Linked DNA regions of Caenorhabditis elegans. The protein of the gene in region 1 interacts with the protein of each later gene in a pairwise test. Each region holds a gene or a part of one and is shown on either strand. Other genes may lie near its edges.

The links.
Region 2: the proteins of tbx-36 (region 1) and ceh-8 interact in a two-hybrid assay, tested with the Caenorhabditis elegans proteins (one large-scale study listed by BioGRID).

Annotation. Positions count from the first base shown.
Region 1 is NC_003282.8:11,948,925-11,952,979, reverse strand, and holds tbx-36 (Putative T-box protein 36), read right to left. Parts: upstream 2,411-4,055; 5' UTR 2,377-2,410; coding exon 2,225-2,376; intron 2,172-2,224; coding exon 1,883-2,171; intron 1,459-1,882; coding exon 904-1,458; 3' UTR 772-903; downstream 1-771. Other genes in the region: hdl-1 (putative aromatic-L-amino-acid decarboxylase), read left to right, coding at 3,216-3,272, 3,317-3,457, 3,503-3,586, 3,837-4,055.
Region 2 is NC_003279.8:8,244,899-8,252,955, reverse strand, and holds ceh-8 (Homeobox protein ceh-8), read left to right. Parts: upstream 1-2,007; 5' UTR 2,008-2,059; coding exon 2,060-2,111; intron 2,112-2,905; exon of another isoform or gene 2,906-2,939; coding exon of another isoform or gene 2,940-2,985; intron 2,986-3,345; coding exon 3,346-3,608; intron 3,609-5,901; coding exon 5,902-5,999; intron 6,000-6,047; coding exon 6,048-6,176; intron 6,177-6,231; coding exon 6,232-6,340; intron 6,341-6,921; coding exon 6,922-7,101; 3' UTR 7,102-7,451; downstream 7,452-8,057. Other genes in the region: col-63 (Nematode cuticle collagen N-terminal domain-containing protein), read left to right, coding at 8,008-8,057.

The DNA.
Region 1 (4,055 bases):
CGAGTAGGCAAACGCTTCTAGGCCACGAAAAGCTCGTCCTGGGGACGCGGGCGCCATAACTATTCAAAACTAGAGGAGCCCAACACAAAACTGTTTACAGGACAACGCGCAACCATCATCGGTGGGCGAGACCGATGAAACTGCAAGCAAAAGATAGCGTTTCATGGAGGAGGAGGAGGAGGTGACTGGCAAATAGATATTTAGAGAAAGAGAGAAATAGAGGCAACATTCGGGGGAAAAATAGAGAAAAGATGCTCCGCCTATTTGAAGAAGGAAAAAAGAAGAGTGGGACGAGTGTCATTGATCTTCGCCCATATTGTGTGGTGCTATTGCATAGGACATACGATCTGCATAGCAACAAAACAAAAGAAGCAGGGTCAATCGACGTCATCTGAGAAAGAATCGAGACAGTGTCTCGCTAAATTCGCGTCAAAAATCTCATTCAACGAATTTTGAATACCAGTTTTGTTTTTGTTTCTCTTTCGATTTGTTTTACTGATCGACATCTTTGATTCTTCGTAAATAATCTTCAGAATAAGACAACCGATTTTTAAATTTTATTTCTCCCCCAGAGATTTGACAGAAATTTTTGAAGAATGTGGCTTTTTCGGTGGTCGCTTCCATAACCAAACATAGAGCATAAAATATTTTTAAAATGGAAAAAAAATAATTAAAAAATCCGAGCACCAAGACGCGCTACCATAAACTTTTTCTCCCGACGAGACCCATTGGAATGAATTCATGCGCCTTTAAGAACAAATTCTACACTTTTGATTTTATTTTCATTATTTATTGAAAAAATTTCAAGAATGATAAAACGTGAGCTTGTTAGTTGTGATAAAAAAGAAAAACAGGTTAGTAATTTGAAACCGGATAAATCTAGACATAAGCATAAATCGAAAGTTATAACCGATTGTATGACTGGAAATAGTTTTCATGAAATGAATTGTCATAATATTGCTGATTATAAAAATCATAATGGACTGTGGGCGAAGTTTGAAAACTAGGAGATAATTGGTCTGTTTGTGGAAAAGTATGAACCATCTGATATTCTTCTGGAGACGATGGGTAGAGAGAGTCATAAATAGAAGATGGTATTGATTGTGGAGAATTGTATTGATATTGATAAAGGTACGATGGTGACGAAGGTGATGATTCAAGCAAACTCATGATTCCCTTTTCAGCATTTTTTAGTTCCTTCTCATCTAGAGATTCGACAGGAAGTTTTGCTGGACGTTTCGAACGCTGGCACTTTGTTCCACTGATTTCATACTTTCTTTTTCTTGAGAAACGATTCATACTCTTCTTCAATTCACGATTGACTTGTCCACGATATTCAGTGCAAGTGATGAATATCATTTCGTCGAATTTCGTTTCCTTCAGGTATATCAGTTCGTCGTTTTGCATCTCATACAACACAACTCGGATTTGATACATTGTTCTCGAGGAGAGACACACCTGAAAATTTGAAAAAAGTCTAAATGACCATTGCGCAATTAATCGTTTTGGTTTTCAAACATGCTGATTATTGGGGACGCAAAAAATGCCCCTTTTGAAATCAAGGTGCAAAAACGCCCCGCCACAAAACGTTGGGTCTCGGTAGGTTTTTGATTTTGGCGGAAAACCTGTAAATTGGTGAAGTCTGCAGAACGAATTGAAAAGGTTTGAATTTACGGTTTTGTCTCCAGAAACCTAACGAGACCCATGGCTAGAGGGCGGAGCATATTCACCTGACCATGGAGCGAGCTTTCACAATGATTTCAAAAAATCACTTATTTGCGTCAATATGATTGATTGCATTTAAGTTATGGTGCATAACACCAGCTACTTTACAATTCACGTGCTCATGTAAAAATAATGAAATTAATTCTACAAAACTCACAGCAATCCTGTTTTGTTCGATTTTCTCCTTGGCTTTTTCGTGGGAGCTTGTAATATTCAATGCACCAAAATCCATATCTCCATTCATAAACCAATCTCCTGTTTCACAAATCATTGAAGACAGCGCCGAAGATTGACAATTGACGGGTGTTTTCGTTGGAATCCACTTTTCGAGTTTCTTATTATACGAGAACGTGAACGGGCTGAGAACATCAAAGCAAATCTCCACCGAGTAGAGGAGAGCCGGATCGAGACCACGTACTGAGAATTTGGCAGCTGGGAAGAGTTTTCTGGAAAATAAATTTTACATTTTGAATAATAAAATAATAAAAACAGAAATTACCTGCAGTCTTTGTAGACTACAACTTCATGAATTCCAATAAGTTGATTCCACTGTTTCTTCGTAATTTCACTTATTTCAATTGAAATATCAGGTTGTCCATCTGCCAATGCAGGCATCAAAAAGTCATTGTAGTTGTACGTGGGCTCGTTCATTTTGAAACTGAAAAAATATAATAAATTTACAAATAATTATTCAAAAAAAAAACAAATGCCAAACTACGAATAAAAACCATGTCGAGCGGAGATGTTGTGAATCAATAGTTATAGATCAATGGAAATAAGTAGGTCAAAAATTTCCTTGACCACCAACATTGTGTATAAATTTTATTTTTTGAAGGTATAATATCGCCAGTAGGGAAAATGTTTAAACCAATTCATTTAATGTTGTCGAAAATTTTTTGAAATGATTTACATTAAAAATTGGGGAAAACTCAGTTTCCCCGATCATATTTTTGGGAGTTTCATGTTTTTTCATGATTTGAATTTTCAAAAAATGTTCTCATTATTTTATTTGAATGTTGTATGAGATGTATGAGATTCTAATTTGCAGCAATACTCGAACCTTCTCAAAATGCCAAAACTTCTGGAAAATTTGGCAATATGCGAAAACTTTGGCTGAAAATTTGGAAAAATCTAAACACTTTTGGAGTGTTTAATTATGATATTTGGTCATTTTTGAACTACTTTGAGTATAATTAGACCCAATTGACGATACAGTAACAGTTAGATTTTTTATTTATTTTTATTTGAAATCTAAAAAATGTCGCATTGAATTCAATATATGAATTCAATATTGTCCGAACTTTGGTTCGTTAGGAATTTGAAAATTCTGTTTAAAAAGTTTAACGTGGCCTGTTCAACTTGTTCAACTTTGATTTCAATTTAAATTTAAAATCTTTCCGCGTTTTCGCTTCCGTCAATTTCTTTCAAAACTGATTCATTCCTACGTTTATTGTCTTTAAAAAAGACTTTTTATTCAATAATTATCAAAAATGTCCGAAAAAGGAGAAACTTTGATAGAAGACACCGCGGAAATTGAGTTCGAGCAGGTAACACAATTCAACTGATTCTATATAAATCATTCTAAATTCAGACAGTTGATAAAACTCAACAATGGGGTCGTCTGAAGAATGCAGCCGCATTTTCATTGTTTCGCGACTTGCACATGAATGAATCATTGCAAAGGAAACATGCAAGAAGTGATTATAAAGTTTATGATTTGAATAATAGAGTGGTTAGTTGGAATTGATCTAGAGTTGGAAACTCATAGGAGTTTCAGATATTCCATGTGATAAATACAACAGCAATGCCAATTACAAAGGATGGGCCGTTTTGTTTGAAAGTTATGAATAAGGATAAAAAGGTAAAAGCTTTCGTAATTTCTCGTTTCTGTTTTGACCATTTTGCCATTTTTTGAAAAAAGTATGTAGCTCGCCTTTCACCCTGCAACTGCACTCGCCTATTGGCACCTTGTCGATTACAAGCTTTTTCTACACAGTTTCTCTCTAACTAACTTTTAATTTTCTCCTAACTTTTAATTTTTGAAGATATTTTTCCCTCTGAATTACCGAATCTTAATAACCTTATAAACCTAAAAAATTTTCCAATTTCAGTCGGTTGCCAAGTTCCTTCGAAATGAGCCAAAACGATCCTATAAACAAACTGGTCTTGCTTCTCTATTTGGCTGCTGTTCTGATACGGAAGATACAATGGAAGTACTTGATGATAATGGACTGATCATTGCAACATCCTTTCTACATCATGATCAGTTTCGAGGAATCCTGATCACAATGAAGGATCCTGCCGGAAAAGTCTTGATTGGAATTCAAGCA
Region 2 (8,057 bases), on another chromosome or scaffold:
AATTGTTCGATCGTGTCGAGACCGGGTACCGTATTTTCGTTCCGTAAACGCAACAAAGATAACGGTCCCACTAAATAACTAACCCAATCGAAATGTTTTTGTGTAGCTTGACCACATTATCGTCGAGATCATGTGTGAAAATTATGAAAGTAATGCATCTATAGTGATATTTGGTGGGGTTTTAATTATCCAGGGAGTATACGGAAGGTAGGTTTCGGAGTTTATGATAAACAAATGTAAAAGTCACGAGTTCAGAGATACGAGGTTTTTGCAACAACCCGATGGAGATCGAGGCCAGCAATCTAATATTTTAAAACAAGAAGTACTTAAAAAGATGATAAAATAAGGCAAAAAATTAATTTCTGGAATTCGTGGACAGTGTTAGATACTGTAATAACTCTTCTTCCAATCAAGCACAGAATATCCCTTCAAGAACGCATCGCAGTCTATGTGTAAGTTAAAAATTAAAAAAATATACGATACAATATTAAAAAGAACAAAGATGAATACTTTAAAAAACCGAAGTAAAGCATGGTCACCAGACCTAGGTCCTTAGGCTTAGTTGCTTAGCTGCTAATTCGATACGATAGGTTACATGAAAATTGATCTATATGATGGATTATATATACAGGGTGCGATTAACGTTTTGAATTTTCAAAATATCCCCATCCGCATCGCTGCAGGACCTCAGAACTTTTGAGATCTCAATTTTTTGGCACGCAAGTAGGCACTCTGCGGGATTTCTACACTTTTTCTCGAGGAATCCACAAGTGTCTTACAAGTTTTTATAGTTCAAAGAATGCTCTTGGTCTAGAGATTCCTAAAAAACAAAAATCCAAAAAAGTTCTGTCATGGTATGACTGTGGCAGTACTTTGAATGACAAAGACGCCTTGAATGATACAGTCGCCAGAAAGGTGGATGTGGGCGGCGGCAGCAGTATCCAAGAAAATTAATTTTAGTACTTTTCGACACGTTTTGATCTGACTTTCAAGAATTTTTATAGAAGATTGAGCTCGGATGATTTTGTGAGTCGTTACACCTTGTGAAGACAAAAAAAAACTGAGTAAATTTCGCAAAGTTGATTTCATGAAATATTCAAAGGTTCTTGCTAGGCGCCAGTGTCGACACATAAAATTTTTATATGCTACGAAAACAATCAAAAACGCTTCTTAACTTTTTAAACTTTGGATTTAACATGAAAATCATACATCTGAAAATTATTGGCGTCCGTCGGAGGTGCGTTTGTGTTGGAGGTGCCGCGTGCCAAAACACCGTTTCGGCGACAGGGATCGTCAAATTGCCGAGGCGATAAAGATTGCACCTTATTGGGAAACATTACAAATTTTAGGTCAAATTGAAGGAAATTTATTCAGCTATCAGTATTCTATAGAAAATTGTACGTGTGAAGTGGCAGTCGCGCGAAAAAACCCATTTAAAAGAGCGCTTCACGTGTTACCATACTTTTGGCGCACCCTATATATATATATATATATATACATTTGGCCTACGGGACATTTTTCAACTGAGCAAAAGGTGTTGTACGGTTACATAAATGCCTCTAAGAGACGCTGTGTTTTATTACAATTGGGAAAAAATATCACGTAGGTTGTAAGCTGTTTAGTATAAAATGTTGCAAGCATAGCAACTTATTTAATGTAGAAAAACTTTTATGGTTTGCAATTTGACCAATTTTTGATAAATCCCTACTTCAAAAGACACTTAACCAGCTAGAAACGTTTTTCCCGATATGCTGAACATGTGCCAAAACGCATACTGTATTTATTTAAGCATTGAATTCCCTTGAACATAAAGCATGCGACCTGATTGAGGAAGGAGCACGAAATATAAATTTTATGATGACAATTTATGGTTTCCTCCCGATATTCCAGCTTGTTCCCTTTGCTGCTTCCCATCACACAGTTCTTCTTTAGATTTCTTTTATTGGATGGCTCCTCCCCTCGCTCCAAAATATTCCCCCCTAGAAAACTGGAGTCAATCTCCTCCCCAATATATTCTGCCACCCTGCTGCCCTCAATTTTTCCTGTCCTGTCATCCGGGATGAGCAATCCAACTGACAACAACTCTGCCACGTCATCGATAACACCAAATTGTGAGTTTTTGATGTTTGAAGTCTCTACAAATTTGGTAATTCAATTCACCTATTTTGTCAAATTATATCCAAATTATTTCCAAATTCGATTTGCGAGCTTTTTTGGGGCTCCACCTCCACCCCCTCTAATTGAATGGAATTTTAGTTGTTTTTTTTTCGTTTGAAAATTGGAGATTATTCATATGCTTGATTTGTCGGATATGTTCAAGAACGTTTGATTTAATTTCAAAATTTAAAAAAAAATCAAAATCTCTGTTTTTTAGATTAATGAGAAATGTTAATGAGAAATCTAGATTCGAATTTAACTGTGAAAGAGTATTAAAACTTTGTCCGTCGGGGTTCCCAACAAGCATTTTTCTTGAAATTTTAATACATCATGCAGTAGAACCTTAACGCCACATTGCAAAACACGAGCTTAAAGGTTACGTTTTCACTTTTTTTTCACTTTTCAGGGATGCATGTTTGAACTGATACTTTTAAAGTATTATCAGCATCTCAAGCTAGATCAATCAAATCTAATTTTCTTTCTCGCTCTCAAATTTCTTAAACTAAAATACTATAAAATACTCCAAGTTTTTCAATCAAAATAGTAAACTTTAACTGATATGAAGTCTTGTCAACACAACCTACCAACGCTAACAAAAGTTCTCTAATAAAATGAGTAATCCCCAAATGACCTCGAGAAGCTGCTGGAAGAAAAGTCATGTGAAAAGCATACGTTTCTTTTCCAAGGCTATCAGGTGAGATATGCGCCAAAATACGCATTCTCATTTTACATTTCTAAACAACAAATCTGAATTAAAAACATATTAGGTATTTATTTCTTTAATGAACATTCCAAAGGGATTTTATTATCCTGGATTTTGGACTGATGGTAACGATTCTTATTACTTATCAGAATAAATATCACCCAGATTCTAAATTTTGCCAGAAGAATGCGGTACACGGTCTCGATACGACCGATTTAAGCCCAAAATTTCCGGCAATCGTACCGGATTTTCTGGCAGTTTTCAGTACTGTAGTTCCCAACTCCTCGTCGTTGCGGATTAAAAAACTGACATTGAAAATGCGATTATCCGTTTCTAGAGAAAATTCTTCCGTAAAAAAGCACATAAACCCTTTTATTCGAAATTAAACCATTCATACAATAAGCCATCGTAAATTTCAGAAATCAAATGTTTCTCGAAAGCAATTATTCAACTTTTTCCTAAACTCATCTCATTTTTTTTTTCAGTTTCGGCGTTTTCCTCATTTACAACATACAAACCATCCGACTCATTTTCTTCATTTGAATCTGATTCTTCTCCATCAAAATCATCATCATCACGAAAGAATCGAGATAAGATAGCAGACAAGAAGCAACGTAGAAATCGTACAACATTCACGACATTTCAACTTCATGCTCTTGAAGCTGCATTTGATAAAACTCATTATCCAGATGTTTATGCAAGAGAAACATTGGCTGCTAAAGTTCAATTGCCAGAGGTTCGAGTTCAGGTGAGAACATATTTTTTATCTGAGAGTAGAGCAGCGAAAAATATTGAAATTTTATTATTTACTGTTAAATTAAAAACAGAATTTAATCAGTTTTCACATATCAATTTTTTAAGTTTACCAGAATAACCAACACAATTTTTTTGCAATGTACCAAAACTAGACTGACTATTTTGGCAAATCTAAAATTTCCATTTTGAGAATATTTTGGCATTCCGTCTTCAATATGAAATTTTAAAAAATTATATTGTAACATATGAATCAGTTCTGGTAAATCGCAAAAAAACGGAGGTTTCCTTGAATCTGAAAATTTACGGGTCACCAAGAACTTATTATTTTTACAATAGTGCCTCTTTGTTTTAGAACATCTTTTGCTTTAACTTTTTGCTGAAATAAAACTTATTTTTTTTTTTTAAATAGTATATATTATTCACAAGAGTAAAACTGAAAATTCACGGTCGACTAGCCAGTGTTGTTCAATATGAAAATGACTGCAGTGGAAGCTCTTGTTGTTTTTTTGGAGATTCGACTTTATTCGAAAAGCGAGAATTTGAATTGCTATCTAATAAATGGGGGGGGGGGGGGGGTTATAGAGATTAACAATTTATATTGTCAAATTTGATATTTTTTGTAATTCTCAAAATTAACAGAAAATTTGAAATACTCTGCGATTTGGTAATTAAAACATTTTCAAATTTGGATACGGTAATGTTCAATTTCGAATTTTTTTTAGTTTACGAAAAAATTTATCCAGCGTAGTAAAAGATTAACATATACATGGCACAAAAGTGAATTCACATATTTTCATTCTTTAATATAATTATGAATATAACTCCACTCGAGAGCTCATGACAATTAAAATTCGAACTATTTGCTCTTGTCCATGACCCTACTTGTCCTTTTTCCATGCAGCTGTGAAAACTGATCTCATCCGGAACAATTAGTAGTGTTAAATTGGCAGGTTAGCACTCCTGTCACACTTCCTTATGCTCTTCTGATTTTTGAGTCAAAAGGGGGACAAACAATAAACAGTAGAAGAAGAAGAAGAAGATAAGCATCTGACTAATCGACATTGTCTTCTCAAATTTCTTTTTCTTTTCCGTCACTTACATCCTACCAATTTAAGGATTACCTCGCCGAGTCTCGACACATTGTTGTCATACAAGGAAAAATATGGATGCTGGGGAGTGAAGAAGTACATTACGATGGACTTTGAAAAAATGAAAATGAAGTTCTATTTGTAAATTGGGGGGGGGGGGGGGGTGGTTATAGATTAACAATTTATATTATGAAATTTGACAATGCTCCGAAAAAATATTTTTAGACAATTCATTTAACGTATATTCTCTATAAGATATAATGATCTATAAAACACATGAAAATCATTAGATTTTTCAATATTTTCAGTCAAACAATCGGAGCTTTTTGAGTAACTTTGAGAAATAAAAAATCGGATTTCTGTTGGTTTTTCCTTTATTTCTAATTCGGTATACTTGGTGTAATTTTCCGGCGGACTGAGTTTCCCGTAAAAAGAGCGAGCGTTCATCAAGACAGTTTACACATTCTTGATGGGATTACTGTAGGTGGTGGATAAAGAAAGATGTTAGGAGGAACAAGAGAAGAAAGTAAAAACATGGCACTTTAATGGACAAGATGGGGCAAAGGGAGCATAGAGATTGACAACTTACTAATTGGTATACGGTAGATGAGGGAAATAGTGGCGGAGAAGTCGAATGGGAAAATAATAAATTGGGGAGGAACTTTATTTTAAATCAGATATTCAAAATCTACATTTGAAATTTAAGTTTTGAAAATTGAAGCCTTTGGTTTTCTAATGGATGGTGCAACTAATGGATGGTGTAACAAACTTATCATAAATGTTGCGTAAGTATGTAAGTCGCCTAGAAAATATTTTTATAAAGAATTGGCAATGGTCGGGAAGTTTACGTTAGAATTTTTGAAGCTTGAAAAAACGAAACTCTCAAACCTCCCACCTGGACGTGATTTTTTTCCACTGTAATTTCTTCCAGAGTGCAGATGGTAAAATTTTGTCAACAAAAAAAATTGTAGAAAAAATTATGGGAAACATTTGTTTAGTTAAAATCTTTTTGCGAGCTACTGTAGTTTTCGAGTTATACTTATTTGAAAAACAACAAAAAATCATCGCAAAATCAGAAACGAATATTATATTTTAAAAAATTGGGTCAATTGTTATAAACGTTAGGTAACTTTTATGTTCTGACTTTTCTGTAAATGTCCTATTCAATTCTAAATGTTTTACTTTCTTCTGTTTCAGGTATGGTTCCAAAACCGCCGAGCTAAATTTCGCCGTCAAGAGAAGCAGGATTGTCAAGGAGAGGAGAAGCATTCACTGAAAGATACAATGCCATCTTGGTTCGCTTCTTATGATAAATGCCCGTCTAATAGAGTTATCACATTTAGGTCATGGATGAGTGAGAATAAGACAGATACACCGCCAATGCTTCCTCCAGCAAATACACTTTCATCAACTCATAACAATGGAATTTCCGATGAATTCTTCAAGACTTCCGAGGGAAAAGAAGTTTATGGGTTTGTTTAAAAAAGTTTAATTTCTAGATTAAAATCAATATAAATTGGTTTTCAGGTTTCCATTCGCTGAATATGGGACTCCGGCGGACAACACGCACGTCAGCAAAACTGGAAACGTTTTTCATTTGAATTTCGAAGACAGTGATAAGAAATCAATGAAAAAAGTATGTTTCTAGTAAATAAAAAGCTTACGACTCGCCTAGAAAGTGAAGGAAATTCAGTGAAGAAAAAATATTTTTTTAAAAATTCAAGAAAACGGCTGTACGCCTTTAAGAGTACTGTAATTTAAAGCTTTCGTTGTTGCGGAATATTCGTGGATTTTTCATTCGAAAAATCATTCTTACGACTTGTTATTACGGGAACAATAAATCATGAGAATGCGTACTCGGTGCATTTTATTTGACGCTAAGAGATATCGCGCGTCAAATAAAATGCACCAAGTACGCATTCTCATGATTTATTGTTCCCGTAATAGTTTTTAATTAAAAAATTATTAATGAAAAAGGATGAAAATTTAATTAAAATGCTACAGAAACGATAGTTTGATATTACAGTACTCCTTAAAGGCACACACATGTATATATTTAACAAAAAAGCGACGCGCCGACACCAAGTACCGTATTTTTGGCTTAAAAATATCGAATTTTCGCGTCTGAATAAGCTTAATGTTTATTTTTCTGTAAAATTACTGAATGTGTATAAAATTGACCATGAATTTTTCAAATTGAACGCGTAAAAATTCCAGGAATCGCCTCAAACACCATCGACAAGTAGTCCATTCATTTCGGAATATCATCCACCATTTATCCCTTATTATATTCCAAATCAATCATTTTCCAATGCATTTAATCAATATCCAATGCCATTCCCCTATCCAATTCACTTTGAGCCACCACAACTTACTCATAGTCAGGAAAATTGTTGATTTTATATGGAAAACTATTACGAATGTTAGATTTTACTCATGTTTTTTTTTAATCTACTGATTTTATGATTTTTTCTTCAAATATCCCCCATTTCTTCAATCTTCCTTCGGCACAATAAACAGAAGTTTCCAAGGGGGCGGCGCACACCTAACACATTTTAGAGTGGCGCGCGAAACCCGTGATATGTCGGAGGCCGCAGCAACTATCGTCTAGCAGCCGGCTGTCTCATTTATTGCAGACCGGTGATGAAACTGTTCTAGGAAGTGCCGTCTTAGAAACAATGATTATGAATTGGACGCTGAGGTCACTGCAACTAAATTAATTAAAGATTGAGTATGAATTCAGAGAAGTTAATTTAACAAAGATTAGAGCTATGTTTTATTGTTTTGCTGAAAAGTTACAGATAAATCGAAGAGCAAGAAGTTTCTGAAGTATTTTCTCATGATTCAGCCAGATTATCTGTATCAGTTTGTTCTTACAATTGGAGCATCGCCACCAATGAGTTTTCAGAAATAATTTTCTAAAACATGATGAGCTTGTCATGTTATGCAAGGGAAGAAGATTGTAGCATTACAGTTCGTCGAAACGTACATTTACCTTCATGAAAGTTATGAAAACTCTGAATGGTTAAAATACAAATATAACAAATAATATTCAAACCACAAGAAGAAAAATCATTAATTTCTTGAAATTCTAAGCCACATACACCCATCGGTTATTGCTATGTGAAATAACACTCGATAAAGGGAAGGTGTATCGCCGAAAAATTGAGAAAAAAGTAGACGGATAGGGGATCCTTTCCAAGCGAAAAACTGGCTATTATGCAACACGCAGATCTACTTTTTTTGAGCTTTTTGGATACGTATATAATGGCAACGATTTTTACGAATAGACATCATCCAACGATGACAACATCTGGACAATTGGTTGCTGGTACTGCCGTTGCACTCTGCGG